4 linked regions of the Drosophila melanogaster genome follow. The protein of the gene in region 1 interacts with the protein of each later gene in a pairwise test. Each region holds a gene or a part of one and is shown in the gene's direction. Other genes may lie near its edges. The genes, in order: Atox1, CG15109, CG15576 and Lmpt.

Region 1 (3,913 bases):
TTTTTTAGTCCTGCGTTAAGAACATGCTAAATTCTAAATTCTTCTGAGTACTCGGTTATTCTTACTAACAAACGAAACTACGAATATTTTTTAGCTTGACTAGCAGGCATAACTACGATTTACAAAATGTAACGGCTTACGTTTTGAAACCCCCATCACAGTGGGCTTTGATCTGAACATAAAGCGTTCGAGCCCTTTGAAATTCTCAAGCCCGTCGCCACAGTAAGGCAATACAAAATTTTAGTAATCCTCCTCTAGGTATTTGGCAAAAATCAGGAGATCCAAGATGGTGCGAGTGATCGAAGACATGTTCGGCATCGCCGTCAACCCGATGACGCAGAAGACTGACCGTGTCCGGCGCTTCACGCTGGTCACAGAGCGCGGCATGTCGGTGTCGATCCTGACGATGGGTGCCATAATCCAGTCCTTGAAGGTTCCCGACTTCAACGGAAAGCTGGAGGACGTGTGCCTGGGCTACGACGACGTGGCAGGCTACTACCGTAACCAGCAATACTTCTTTGGAGCCACCATTGGCCGGGTGGCCAATCGTACAGCACACGGGCGCTTCAAGCTCTGCGGCAAGGAGGTCAGTGTGAGTCGAAACTTGCGGGATAGGCATCACCAGAACGGCGGGTTCGTGGGCTTCGACAGCGTCATCTGGGACGTGGTAGGGGTGCACAAGGACGGTGTCACCCTGCAGCACATCTCGCCAGATGGGCACGAGGGCTATCCGGGCGAGCTGACCACCAACATCAACTTCTCGCTCAACGAGACGGGCTGCTTTGGGATGCGGATCGAGGCGCGGACGAAGGCCACCACGGCGGTGAACATCTCGAACCACAGCTTCTTCAATTTGGCCGGACACGGCGCGGGCCGGGATACGCTCTATCAGCACATGCTGATGATCAAGGCCCAGAAGATAGTGGACGTGGACCAGGAGCTCCTGCCCACCGGGAAGCTGATGCGCGTGCGCACCACCCCGTACGACTTCTCCAGCCTGGTCAGTCTGGGCAAGCGGCTCAACCAGGTGTCCACATGTCCGCTGGGCGGCTTCGACAACCATTTCTGCGTGGACATTCCTCCAAACCGGGTGCAATTGGTCGCCCGAGTGGTTCACCCATGCAGTGGCCGGTTCATGGAGGTGCACACCAACCAGCCGGGCCTCCAGTTCAGCACGGCGAACCATTTGCCGAGCGAGGACGGCTCGGACATCCCCATCGCGGGCAAGGATGGGGTCAACTATGTCCGCCAGGGAGCCTTCACCCTGGAGACGCAGAAGTACCCGGACGCCATGAACCACTGCGACTTTCCCTCAGTCGTGCTCAATCCCGGCCAGCTTTACGATCACCAGGTGGTCTACCGCTTTGGCTCTTGTCCCAAGCGAGTGTAGCAACTTAGTTGATGCTCCCAAAATTAGGCCGCTAAAATTCAATTGGCAGTGCAATCAATAGGGTTAGTACTGGCTAAAGTGCATTTATATTATCTTTCTATTTCTTGACAATAAATTTGCAACTTACAAGGAGGGCGAACGTTTAAAAGTAATGCAATCTTTTTAAAACACTGTGAGATTAGGGAACAATTGAGTATGTTTCGCTTCTTAATTATAATTCTACAGAAATTCGGGGTCGTACTTGATGCTGGTGCTCACCTACGTCCCTGGAGTCTTGAATAAAGGCGCCAACTGGGCAGCACTGGTAGCGCCATTTGGTTTGGGTCTCAGCTAGATCCGTTATCAAAGTGCTGCACCACACTGCTATAAACATTTGCTTTATTTACGCGTAGTATGGACTTGATATATTTAAAGGGCAGATCCCTCGGTCACTCTGAACAGCCCAATATAAAAAAAACCAAAGAAATTCGCTGAAAAAACGAAGGGAGTTTCTGAGTGCCACGTTTGGAACTGAGAGTAGCCGAGGAAAGCCGTCAAGCTGTTCAACCTACCGCAAGTCTACAAGCAGACGACGGACTCCAGAAGTCACAGCAGCAGCAGCAGCAGCAGGATGACAGTGGGTTTCGCTGGCTGAGTCCAGTCTAAAATCGATTGGAAGAGCCTTTAAAATTCCCATTCTCTACCAACCCATTTCCCGCTCTCCCCAGGTGCACGAATTCAAGGTGGAGATGACCTGCGGCGGATGTGCCAGTGCCGTGGAGCGAGTCCTGGGCAAACTGGGCGGTACGTAGAACTAGTGCCAAGTACTAAGTTAGTTAGTGTCTTATCGGTCGGAACTTACGTTTACGTATATGTATGTATGAACCTATGTGTGTGCTAATGGGTGAACTTATTTAATGCCATTGATTCCCGACACATGATACATACATATATGTATGTAAGCACCAACTTGTTACATTTTTAATTAGTACATCCTGGATAATAGGATAGTGACTAATTAACAATGAGCTCCCTGAAATGGGATATCTAATCCCTCGAAACTATTTGAAGTGTCTGTAAAGTCGGTTAATGTGCATAAATAGTAATAGTTGTAATTCATTAACGAAAACATGTTTCCCCTTTCTTTCTAACCAAGCTCTAATTAATTTGTGCTCTTTTAAAAATGTTATTGGTACCTAAAAAACTTGATTAAACTTAACAACAAGTTCAGTTAATTTGTTTGAAGATCACAGAACAAGCCTTAAACATAAAAAATCATATAATGATAAGGGGCTTAACCACAATTTGCATTGTTCGTTCAAGTGGTGGGAACAACTTAGCCTAGCCCTTATCAGTAGCGATTTGCCTTACTTTCGGCGCTCGTCGACTAAACCATGTGTTTTGCCTTTCCGCAGATAAGGTCGAGAAAGTCAACATTAACCTGGAGGATCGGACGGTGAGCGTGACGTCGAACCTGTCGTCCGACGAGTTGATGGAGCAGCTGCGCAAGACCGGCAAGAGCACCACCTACGTCGGGGTGAAGAAATGAGACGAGTTCCTCAGCAAGTTTCAGAAGTACGGCAGGCTGAAACTTGAGGTATAGGGTGTGGACCCCAGAGGATTGAAATATCTTCCACGTTGCCGCTCCGAAAGCATTCGATTTGGGTCGCTGTTCAGTGATATTCATGGGATACATACAAATTTTACTCTTAACCAAATCAAATATAGGAATCATATACAAATTTTACCTTAGTATTTGCTCTTGCCCAAATTGTATGTAGCTCGTAGTTAACCAATTGAGGTGTTATTATATTATGCATTACTTATGCTTAGATGAAGAATTTTAAATTCAAATTTAACTAATCAAATCGTACAGCCAACTTTTTGCCTAAGTATGCAGGTGCCGTATTTAGGGGTACTCAAGTAAATCCAACGTAGTTGCCAATAAATGATATACGCCAGTTGCCCTCTTATGACTAATCGTAATATTACAAATTTTACCATTTTAAATATCAAATATATACAAATACATTTTAACCTTAAATGCTGGCATCCTTATTTTTTTTGGGAATGTGTTGGCTACTTTTACAATTTTCAGGTCGACTTTGGAGCATCATGTAGTAAATCCCGTTAGGGAAATGGTTTTCATTTCCAAATTGTCTTATTGTCGTTCCTAATCCGAAAATCAGATGCGGGCACTAAGCATCTTGTGGTGTTTGGCGTTCCAGCGAATCGGCGACAAAGAGCTGATTATTGCCTTATAACGATCGGAGGGGCAGCATGAACTTGTCATAAATCTCGGCTCTCTGGAACCCACACTTATAAAATTCAATATATTTTTATTTTCGGTTTTCCAAGTTCCGCGTGTGTCTTGCTTTCCTTGGTTTTTTGTGGGCCATGTTCGAGGCGTAACGAAATTATCAATCAAATGCCACCTCGGCATTCAAAGAATGCAACAGCACACAAAGAGCCCAGGCGACTGCACTAATTGAGCTCAAAGCTGGACGTTCGAAGTCTCATCTCGTTCCGGCTACCTGGGACTGC
Region 2 (4,087 bases), on another chromosome or scaffold:
GGCCAGGTGTTACCTTCAACCTTTGCACCTGAGCTTCTCCAGTTGCGTCTGCTGGTCCTGCATCTCCACTTGTCATTTGCCACTGTGGCCCCAGCTACTTGCTACTTGCCACTTGCGCATTTAATTAAGTTTACGCCGCGCTGCACACGCAAAAGGACGAAGGACGTTATTAATTAAATTCCTTTATACACAGGTTAAGCCAGCCATCCCCTCCACCACCTTTCGCCTTTGTGTGTCAACAATTGGAATATTAACGAGGCAACTAATGAAAGTTTACAAAGCCGGAGTCTTTTCCGCCGAAACAAATCGAAAGGGAAACATTTAATAAAAGTCGCACTCACCGATTTTCCGCCCGAGATCAAAGCAATTGCTAGACCAGTTCCCCTAGCACCACTTGACCCACACGGCGGATGCGTGATTTTCGCTACCAATTATAGTGGATCGTCTTGGGAGCCTTTTTGCAGTGTCTGCGTGCAAATCCCGCCGCGTTGATGCACTGCGGCAAAGGTTTCGGACCCCTAATAAGCCACGACCTTAACGGACTCACACATCAAAGCAAGAGCACGCACACCCACTTACACACTGGCTTATAAGCCCCAGACACGCAGACATATGCAAAAAGGATATGTATTAACTGTACGCATTTAAGCCGCTTGTCGAACGCGCACAAATCCAGAAGGGGAAAATCGACTTTTATTCAATACACTCGAAAAATCAACTTTGGCAGATAAAAAACGAGAAGATGAAAACGAGACAGCAGGATGGACCGGAAAAACGGGGTTTTCGAGGAGTGGGGCTACAATATGCGAGTATAAATGTGCAAATCCCCAATGCAGCAACAGCTGCTGCTCAGCCACGCCCCCTTTCGACCCCCCTCCCCGCCTTCAGTGCACTCGTTTGGCATTTACATTTAAGCTGATAAGGAAAAGTGCCTGCTCCTCGGGGTCCCTTGGTTTACCGCCTCCTGCACCCCAAAATCCACCTGAGCGCCAAGTCGCCTCGAAGGGCGCACACACACACACACACACAAGCACATCGAAGACGGCGATGAGAATTGTTTGTTGAAAATGTCGCCAGTTTATGAAATCGCGTGCGTTGGCAGCAAGGAATTCACATTTGACGCACGCACTTTACATTATTAATGCCTAAAGACGAAGGCGGCAGAAACAAGTTCAAGTTTTAGGCTAAAAAAACGGGAATCGAGAAAGAAATACCCTTTTGAAAGTAACCAAAATTCATTTGATATATAACACAAAAGAAGATATAGTTGTTACATTTTGAACAAATGGGAAATTATAGTTTAAGTCAATAAGTCAATCCATGCAGATTCATAACCTATATTTCATATCTTCGATAATTCTTATATACCTTTTATATCAAAAGTTACATGGAGTAGGTGAGTAGTGCTGTGTGCGTGCTTGTGTGCGTAGAGAAGCATCGATGTTTTGGAAAATGCTCCTGCCATTTCGCAAATGTATCGCATTTCCGTTTGGGTGTTTGCACTTTTACGCTTCGCTGAGAATTTTCCAATTTTTGCTGCTAATATTTATTAATCAAGTAATAGCTACTCACACGCAGGCACACACTACGTGTATGAACACTTGAGCTTGTGCCTGTGTGTGAGTGTGAGGTCGCTTGATTTTTGCACGAAAAATTGATTGGAAATTTATAAGCTAAACTTTTTCCACTGTTTGCTTTTGTTTGCGGCCCACGAAACAAACTTTTTTGGTGTGCGCGGTTGTGTTTTGTTACTTTTTTTTTTGTTTTTGTACCATTGCTGCCATTTGCAGCACTTGAAAAGGTCGCCACAAATGGAAGTGAGTGTGTGTGGAAAATCCCCATCAGAAAAATATTGAAATTCGATTTTTTTTTTCGTACTCTCAGTAACCTTTTACCAGGTCCCCAGCTGTCTGTCAAAGCCTCGCCATGAGGCAGGAAGCATTTCGAATTATTTTCAGTACAAACTTTGTGCCGAGCACACCTAGAACCCACTCCAATCAAATAAAGTAAGTTCAAATTGTAACTATTCTGGTGGAAAAAAATCTACAATAAATATTCAACTCTGAGAATATTTGTGGTCACTTTTCACTTTTTCAACTCAACTGTCTTCCACAGCGCTGCCTATCATGCAATACAAGATGAACTACTTGCTGATCCTTGGGTGTAAGTATACGTTAGTTTTCAGTACCATCTAGCATGCAATTATTTATAATTAATTGCGTGTATTTCAAACGCATCCATTGTTTTGCTTAAGGTGTCCTCATGTTGATGCGGCCGATGTACGGCGATTGTCTGCGCATGAAGCGTTCTCAAGGCGATACTGCAAGTGATTATAATGAAACCACTACAATGGACAATACTGCTTCACTGAGCGGAAAAGCCACCGTGTTGGCCAATAGTACCATTACCACCGCTAACATGACTGAAGCCGCCACATCTCCGGAGCAGAAGATTACTGCTGGACCGGTGCGCAGTATGGGAGTTCGTGGAAAAACCACTAGCTCCACAACCACCACCGCATTATCATCATCACTTGCTGCTGTGGCATCCACATCCTCGCCTCCGGATGCCGGAAAATTTCAGCTAGTGGAGGATCTGCTGGGACTGCGCCGTCCCAAGAGGCGTTTGGGTAGCCTGATGGACGACAGTCTGCAGCCACGACAATTGCACCACAAGCGTCGCCCAGCGGTGGAAGCTGCTGCTATGGCCACCTCATTGCCACCCAACCCTAATCCCAATCTTAATCCCAATCCCAATCCCAATTCCAATCCCTACGTGTACTACAACAAGCTGGTTTCGCCAGATGGCAAGCACGAGATAAAGGAGTTCGAGCTGCTGGCGCCCAACATGATGATTGAGAGTGTGCAGCAGGAGCTGAACTACGGTCCGGAAGTTCTGCCACCGGAATTGGCCGGAGTGCTACTGCTGAATGCAGCCGAGAACACTCCACGCGGACTTCATAATGCAGCACCACTGAAGCACCATCGCAAGCATAAATCCTCGCCGGCTGTGCCACCGATGCTCTACATGCTGCAACAGCTGTTGCAGCCCAATTTCGAGGGAAATCTCTTGCTGGAACCACCAAAGGAGCCACAGCGTCACGTTAGTTCACCCCTCTATCAATTCCTTGATGGCGCCATGGATCTGGCTTTGCGCAACAATCCCGATGTCATCGATCACCTGCTGGGCGATCACCTAGAATTGGAGCTGGAGATGGAAAAAAAGAAGGGCATCAAGGATAAGGCACTAACGAAGAAGGCCAAGAAGGAGGCACAGAAGATGGAACCCAAGGAGGAGCTCATCGTCAGCTGTCCCATTCACCATGAGCACCATGCCAATCGTAATGGCGACGTGGTCGAAGATGATGTCGTTTTGGTGAACGAGTGCCATCTAGTGTGAACCTGAAACGGGCAGCTGTCACAATGTTTCTTAAAAATTTTAGGTTACTTGTTTTTCCGCATTCTTTTTTTTATTTTTTGTTGCTTCAACTGGAAGATGTTTATATTTCTTGCATATGTAAGGAGTGGCGAGACCATTTTTACTTTGTATACAAAAAACAGACAATAAAAACTAAATACACATCATAATAACTATGTTCAGCGGAAGAATATAAAAAATCAAGCTCGAAAGTTGCAATATAATCCTTCGGGAATGCCATCATCGAGCAGAATGGCCATTGTTCCGCCCGTAACAAATATCAAACTTACGCTCCAATCGACACCCGATCCCCTGGGTGGCCTTCTCCTTGAAGTTCTCCTTCGTTTTCATTAACAAAATCGATTTCCTACCTTGAAATGTCCTGAGGGGAGAGGTGGATGAGCGGGAAAATTGATATGCCGAGTGCGACAGTGCAGCCAAACGAGCAAACAAATCTAACATACAAACCCTTGACTGCGGATGAGAATATATCCTCCATTTATAGCAATACATGTGTGTGTGTGTATGGGTGTAGGGGTGGGACATAGCGAACGGAGCCGAAAGGCAAAAGTTTTGCCGGCTGCCACTGCTAAATGCTGCTAATTTCGTATACAATAAAACTAATGTAAATTGCCACTTGACGTTCACTGGGCGTGTAAGTGTGTGCCAT
Region 3 (3,045 bases), on another chromosome or scaffold:
AAGGGCGCCCCGAAAACTCGCAAAAGTTTGCTCCAAAGTCCAACATATGTTGCCTGTTCATGCATGCCCTCGTACTCCCCCTCTCTCCACGTCTCCCCTTCCAAATTCCTTGCCCTGCAGTCACTAAGTTAGTCATACAAATGGAGAAAATAGATGACAGAACCATGTTAAAATAATGGTATGAAATAGAGGTTGTAAAATCGCAAAAAAATCGATTCAAACATAGTTAAATCATTGATGAAATCTTATGATATTTAAACATAGACAATTTTCATTAATAACGAAGTCGCTTTTATTTCTTTAAGTGCACGACTTTCATACACATACGGCCATCCAGCACGTGTGCCAGTGTGTGTGTGCCAGTGTGTAATTATAACAAGTTTTCTAGGCAATTTTTCTGTTTTCCTTCTCGTTTTTCGCCCCAGAATCTCGCTAGTTCCCCCGTTCTTTTATTTTATTTTATTTTTTTGGGAACGCTTCTGTTGGGTATCTGAAGAGCAAGAAGTAAGTTTCTGATAAGAAAGTTATGATGAGTTTTCTTCACTCACACAGCGAGCAGAAGATGGCAGCACATGTACACACAGCTGTTGATTTTGGCCAAATTAGTGCAAACACGTCTTGTTTTGAGTTGTGGCCCATGTGGAACATGTGCAACTAATTTGCAGTTATCAAGAGTTCTGCCTTCGACGGGGTTGAACGGATGAGCTCGTGGTCAGATGTCTGTATCTAATCCATCTGTTGGGGCATTGATTTTGGCATCCCAGATACATGCCACCAAACCCAATCCACCCACCATTGTTAACAAATTTCCATTTCCGGTGGTGGCCACAAAAAGCGAAAGGTGTGCGGATGGGCTTTTTCGGGCGGAGTTGGAGCTCGGAAAACCCCGCTGGCCTGTCTGCCGACTGTCAAAAGTTTATTTATTTGACACCGAAAAAGTTGACACAGACACCAGGCCGGGGGCGTGACTTTGTGCCTGAATCGGATTTATATGCCTGGCCAAAATTGGATTACAATTGAGTTGTAATTATGCGACAACAAAACGTTGCGTTCGAGGGGATGCGGATCCTTTTTGGGGTCCTTTGGAGCTCACCGCCTCTGTGTTCTGTTTTCCATGTTGTCGGCAATTTGAGCCAAGCGCTTGCTCAACGACGTCTTTTGAAATTTCGCATTTTGCATTAATTAAAACTGATTTAATTAAAGCTTGTCGTGTTGCTTTTAAGTACTTCAGGAACCAGGATGAGAGTAACAGGTCCTCGAGCTAGGACATCCACTAGCGCATCCAATCCACCCCATGAAAATGATTGAAGCGAGAGACCAAAGTGTTCTGGACTTGTCTCCTGTCGCCCTCGCCAAAGATTCTTTGTCGTCTTTGAGTAGGTGAAAGTTTAATTAAATATGCATCGAGCGTACACAAGTATGTGTACTTGTGGGCCACATAGATCGCATAGATATTTCACCGGAAGTCCCCCAGTCGGATTATGTCGGAATTAGTTATCCAAATTTTTTGGTTATCTCTTATCTCTTGTACAATATTTCACATAATACCATTCCACAATTCAGCTTTATTTGTCTTGTCACATATTTCAGATGCTCAGGTCTCATTGAGATTTCTATCAATCGGTATTGTGTGCTACCGTGTCAGAAAAATATTAGTTATTCGAAATCCCCAACAGCAGCAGAACGTTTCGATCGAAATTTCAGTAAGAACAGCTTTAAAATATTCAAAATGAATCCATTTAGGCCAAATCCAGGTCAGAGTTTTCGCATTCGCTTGAATATGGATCGCGTGCCGGGCGAAGAAGAGCGCAATATACAGCCATCGACTGATGAACGTCGAATCACCCAAATTCCACCGATTCAATTGCGCATCGATCATCAGCGGGATGTGAATCGTTTCATGATCAATATGCGTGTAATGCTACATCGACGGAGGACGGAATTAAATATGGGAGGCGGCGATAGTATCGGCGTGTGGAACTGGAGGGAGCCTCCGATGCCAAGCGGTTTGATTGGCGAGGGCGATTGTGATGGCGGTGGCTATGGTAATTACGCTGGTGACTATCATCCACCATTGCGGGGACTGCCACCAAACCCCTAGGATCTGTACCTTCTCTTACCACACTTGCCATCACTGTCTTTTGCCTCTCCCCTTCCTGTGCGTGTGTGATGTCCTTTTTTTCATTTCTGAGCGTCGTCCGCAAAAAAGAAGAAAAATGTCATCATCAGCTAAAAGGCCCGAAACCCCAAACACAATCCACTACCACTTCCATTCTCATTGCCACCTGAACCAGTAACCCTTGGAGAAGAACGGACCCTGTTCGGACGCATGTTGTTCTATTATTATATCCCCGTTGAGTTCTGGGTTGATGATTTTTCCATCTCCCCAAGAAAATTGATGGGCTTTGGAATTGGAGGACATGCCGAGCCCCGGACGCATATAATAATTTCCTGTTCAATGAGCAATTATCGTAATAAAGATACAATTCCGCTACTCTATATTATATTCGGATACGGGGATGACAATGGTGGTCAGTGGGCAACGATGGTGGCCAAGAGGGGAACAAGCGCACTGACGACAACGATGATGATGATGACTGGTCTCTTCCGCACTGATGTGATGGATTGAGCCCCAGCTCAAGTCTGATTCCTGTCTGTCATGTCACTTTTTCCATGGGGTTAATGGGGGCGTGACAAACATACGGGAAAAGCGCACGGAAAGTTGATTGAACTGCACTAGTTAACTATTCCCCGAAATGACTAGCATGCCATTTCAATTCTAGATGAATTTGACCCCAATATAAGCACTTCATTTTACTTACTTCATCCTAAAATGAACTTCTCAATGAAAGCTTCTATTTTAATGCATTTATTCTGAAATTCGTACATACATAGATTGTAGACAAATCAGGATGCCAATTGAAACAGATTTTGCCCTCTCAGCTGTGACATTTGCATAATCAAAGAAAATTTCGAGCGCAGCCATAGGAACTTTAGTGGGTGTTTGACTTTCATTATAGCCTTCTAGCAGCTTTAGGACTTCCC
Region 4 (4,669 bases), 4.7 Mb from region 1:
GCTCTGGTTTTTATCGCCCGCCGCACGCAGTTCACGTTTATTGCATAGGTGCGGCAATCGCCCTTTCCAAAGGTTATGGCATTTTCATTGAACTTCACTTGGCTGCCTGTGGGAGTCGGGGATCCCGGGGATATCTATCCTCCAGCTCCGCAAATGCAGCGACTCGCGAGTGGCGATGGCAACAAAGAAATGAAGGCAGTTCATTGGCAGCACTGGCTGTTGACGCGTTGTCATCCGTCGAGCGGAAGTTCATTGCGAGTGAGCCGGAAATTTGTGGCATTCGGTTAAGGTTAGAGATTGCTAAAAATTGCTGCAGGTATTCGCAATTTGTTATTGATGTGCACAAACTGCTTTAGCTCGATTGAAAATATCCTTTATCCATTTATTTTGATTTTAAATAGATTGGGGGTGTAATATGCAAGTAAATAAATTTTTTTTATATGCGTGTTGATCGATTTTTAATTAGAAAATGTTGGATAAAGAAATTGCATTGTCTGTCGCCTTTCGGTGTTATTGTACAAAAAACCATGTTTAAATTTATTCAAAATAAATTTAAATTACCATCAGAAACACTTTCGCTTTCGTTGCGAAAAGCAAAATAAACATATGAATATATCAGAGCCCAGATGACCCATTTATTCATATAAATCTATCTATTTTTGCCACAATTTCTAATGACAATCAGATGATGAGAATAAACAAAAGAATACAAAAATAGTTTGGCTTTGTGGGGCAAAGAACACAATTATGCCGCGTTTGACAATAATTATACTGATTCTGAAAACGCAGAAGAGAACCACAGCGAAATCGGCGATAAAGAGCCTCTGAAAGCTGCTGGCAATGTTAGTGTCAGTGCCAAGACGAAATTTATGGCAAACATTTGTGTGCAATCCGCTCGGAGGCGGCGAAATGGGGCGTGGCGACCCTGGCCCCAGGCGCTGGCAATGCCAAAGAAAACTGATTTGCAAACACCAGGAACAGTAAAAGTCATGCCCATAAGAATTACGAATGCTAAAATATATTTTTCCCACTTTCGAGAATACCAAATTTTATTGGCAAAATAAACAAAAGAATTGGGCATTTTATAAACAAAATTGTATCTCAACATTGTACTCTTAAATGTTATTTTTTCTAAAATCGGAGATACGATGTGACCATTAATGCCAAATTAAGCATTTTTATGGAAATTGGCACCTTAGCTCTGTATATTATTGCAGCCAACTGTGCGTCTGAATAATATGTGTGGTATGCAGTATAGAAAGATCATGTTTTTCAGAAAATACTTGATTTTTTATTATTTTAAAATATCAAAAGAAACATTTTCTGATTAATTTTGATAAATTGAATTTTTAAACCTGAATAAAAGGATAGGAAAGAAAAGATCCCTAAATCTTGATACTTGCTTGAGATTAAAAAACTCTTCATTATGTTATCGAAATGACAGTTGCATTTGATTTTCCCTATCCGATTTATGGTCATGTCGCTAACTGTTCTCCCGCACGAAAACGGCGAGCAAAGCAGAAAGTGGCGAAAAGTGTTTTGTGGAAAACAGCAATCGAAGCATAGACCAAAAATAGTTCCCCCCAAACGAAAAGGGGGCGCGGCCGGCGGGGTGTCGACTAAACTGATTAGAAAATCGGCTTTGGCCAATTCCGATTGCTTTGGCATTTGACACGGAGGCAAGGCAGTGCAACAACGGCAGCGGACAGAAGCAGATACATTTGTGTTGCCAAATTGCCAGCGACAAAAGTCGGCGATGTCTTGTCAGCTCTACAGGCCTTTTGCTCTCATCGCTGGCCGTCAATTAGCGCCGTTTGCCATTTGAACGGATTCGGTTCTTGGCGGTTCTCTCGCCGCTGATTCACTTGTTCTCTAGAAATCGGGGGACCCATGGGCATTGGCTGGGGCATTAATCAGTTGCAAGACGATCGATTAGCGGAAAACAAGAGCTCGCCGCCCGAGCAACTGCATCCGCCTGGCGAGTCCGCCCATCTCCGATTCTTCTTGCTTCGCGCTCTCATAAATCGTCTCAAAACGTAGATAAATGAATATATATCGATGATTGGTTCAATGATTTGTGAGCGAAAGTGAAATAAATATTTTTCGAATTACCTAATCGGCTGGCCATTAACGTGAGTGGTGTGAATTTTCGAGTGCGTGGTGAATATATTTTATATAATACGTGTTAGCCGATTCGGTTCTCGTCGACACATACTCTCATTGCATCGGCGAACGTTGGAGGATTCGGATTCCGTTTCGATTCTGGTCATTACGCAATGGCCGCTGAGGAGACGGCGCTAACCGGCGTCGGCGAGCTACTATTCTCGCTGCTAATTGGATACCTAGGTGCCCTGGAATTCGCCTTTGTGGCGCGCCATCTATACCACTGGACTTTCCAACATCCCGGCGATTCTTCTGTAGATGCAGCAGCTGACGCAGAAGAATTGCCTCGCATGCGAGAGCGATTGGATAAGCAGATCAAGGAGGCGGCGGAAAGGGAAGCCCTGGCAGGAACCAATGTCATGCAGGATGGTGTCCTATATGTCAATGGAATACGAGTAGATCCTGCTGGAGATAAAAGACAAGCTTTGGCAGCCGAACTGGCACGTCAACAGCAAATTGAAGCCGATACGAGGCGTCAGCTGGCCGAAGCCGAGGCCAAGCTGGTAGAAGAAAGACTACGAGTCCAGAGGGAGAAAGAGGAATCGGAGGAGCAGCAGAGAAAGCTCGTAGAGGCGGAAAGACAGCGCGAAAGAGAGCAGGCGGAGAAAGAACTGCAGGAACAAAGAGAAGCCGAACGCAGACAGCTAGAAGCAGAAGAAAATCAGCGTAAACAGCGCGAAAACGAGGAGAAAGAACGCCTAGAAAACGAAAGAAGGCTGATAGATGCCGAACGGGAAAGGGAGGAGAATGAGCGAAGACTGCAAGAAGCTGAAGAGCAGCGCGAGCGAGAAGAAAGCGAAAGAAGAATCGTCGTGGCAGAGCGTCAGAGAGAGCAGGCCGAAGCCGAAAAGGAGCGAGCCGAACAACAAAGGATCCTGGCTGAAGCCGAGGCAGCGCAAGCCGAGCGTCGTCTCTTTGATGCCGAGATTCAGCGAGAGCGCGATCAAGCTGACGAAGAAGGGCAAGCACTGAGGGATGCGGAGATCGTAGAGCGTCTTCTGGCAGCAGAAAGAGAGCTCAGTCCAAGCGCTACAGAGAGCGAACTGGAGGAGGATGCTGCCATCGCAGAGCAGTCGCGTCGCCTGATCTCCAGCAGAACTGATCTGGAGCAAAAACAGCGAATGATTGAGGAAAACGCCAGACGCTTTCTTGAGGCAGAAGAGGAGATGGTAATGTTACAACAGCGCCAACTTCAAGCCTCACACAGCAAAGAGGAGGCAGACGAGTATGCTGGCATGGAACCCGTGGTGGAGGAGCTGTGTGTGAAGAAAGTGGCTCCACCCAGGTTTCAGGAGCCTCCAGAAGAACCCATGGTGCATAAAGTGAAAACTCAATTTGGTCAAGGAAGTGGTCCTGAAGACGCCTACTCAGCAAAGTCAAAAACACTCACCTTCCCTGGCGTATCGGATGAAGGATCCTCTCTTGAACCCAAAACTCCGTTCTCCATCCAGCAGTCGTCCTTCAGCACGCAGCCCTCTGATGAGGGCAACAGAATCGAAAGTGAACGCCCAGAACCTGAAGGAGAAGATCAGATACAGGAAGTCCAGTACACCGAGGACTACCTTCGTTCTCTAGATGGCATTAAGAATCGTCCTTTGATGCGAGAGGATGGTTCAGGGAGAAGAAGGGCTTTTAAGAAGCGACGATCCAGTGGAAGCTCGAACTCCTCGCGGGAATCGCGAGCCTCCCGCGACGAAGAACTAAAGATGTTCACCTCGCTAGAGGAGGAGGAGTTGCGCCACGGCGACCGAGAGGACTATAACCCCATCAAGTATACGAGCGAACCTACCCTGAGGGTTAAATCCCACCGACGTCACAAAAGGAGTCCAGCAAAGGATGTTAGACCAACGGCAGAGTCGACCACATCCTTAGAGATGCTCGGTGAGGAGAGCACAAATCCCTGGGGTGAGGTTGTGCCGGAGCATTATAAGGATACCGAGTTTTGGAAGCGGGAAAAAGCGCTCTCCATAGACGAGGAGGAAATCGAACTAGAAAGACCATCCAGGGGAGAGGATGTGGAGGAAGAAGCTACAAATGAGCCAAAATCGTCCTCCTTTGAAGAGGCCACTGAGGCACAAAACGAACAGGCAGTGGCTGCCCTAAAACAACAACTTTCCAAGGAGCAGTTGGTGAGTAAATGAATCTACAAGCCGAGGATCTATATCAATGATTTATTATGTGTGTGTTAGGACAAAGAAGCGGAGAAGGACAACCCGCAAGCAGTGGATACCAGCGACAGCAACAAATCCAATGTAAGTGCGTAGCACAGACACCTGGCATCATTTCTCACCCAATAATTTCGACCACAACCTAATCCACCAATCGCAGACACCACTGCCGCATAACTAACTGTCCTAACTGCTTTACCTCTTTGCTTTTCATATTGCTACTGCTCCCACATTCCGCTTGCTTTTCCGCTTCACCTTTCCCCCAAAAAGCTGCAAACCTCTATCGCAGCAGAGGAGCAATCAAGGGGTGGTTCACCTGGCTTGCGACGCAGTCCACG

What was found.
Region 2: the proteins of Atox1 (region 1) and CG15109 interact in a two-hybrid assay, tested with the Drosophila melanogaster proteins (one large-scale study listed by BioGRID).
Region 3: the proteins of Atox1 (region 1) and CG15576 interact in a two-hybrid assay, tested with the Drosophila melanogaster proteins (one large-scale study listed by BioGRID).
Region 4: the proteins of Atox1 (region 1) and Lmpt interact in a two-hybrid assay, tested with the Drosophila melanogaster proteins (one large-scale study listed by BioGRID).

What each region holds. Positions count from the first base shown.
Region 1 is NT_037436.4:21,639,190-21,643,102, forward strand, and holds Atox1 (antioxidant 1 copper chaperone), read left to right. Parts: upstream 1-1,805; 5' UTR 1,806-2,000; coding exon 2,001-2,006; intron 2,007-2,097; coding exon 2,098-2,173; intron 2,174-2,784; coding exon 2,785-2,918; coding exon of another isoform or gene 2,919-2,972; 3' UTR 2,973-3,410; downstream 3,411-3,913. Other genes in the region: CG32445 (uncharacterized protein), read left to right, coding at 287-1,390.
Region 2 is NT_033778.4:19,057,481-19,061,567, forward strand, and holds CG15109 (uncharacterized protein), read left to right. Parts: upstream 1-1,940; 5' UTR 1,941-2,006; intron 2,007-2,115; 5' UTR 2,116-2,138; coding exon 2,139-2,163; exon of another isoform or gene 2,164-2,254; coding exon 2,255-3,399; 3' UTR 3,400-3,585; downstream 3,586-4,087.
Region 3 is NC_004354.4:4,251,323-4,254,367, reverse strand, and holds CG15576 (uncharacterized protein), read left to right. Parts: upstream 1-1,577; 5' UTR 1,578-1,729; coding exon 1,730-2,101; 3' UTR 2,102-2,498; downstream 2,499-3,045.
Region 4 is NT_037436.4:16,897,777-16,902,445, forward strand, and holds the start of Lmpt (limpet), read left to right. Parts: upstream 1-1,638; 5' UTR 1,639-2,276; coding exon 2,277-4,292; intron 4,293-4,352; coding exon 4,353-4,415; intron 4,416-4,601; coding exon 4,602-4,669.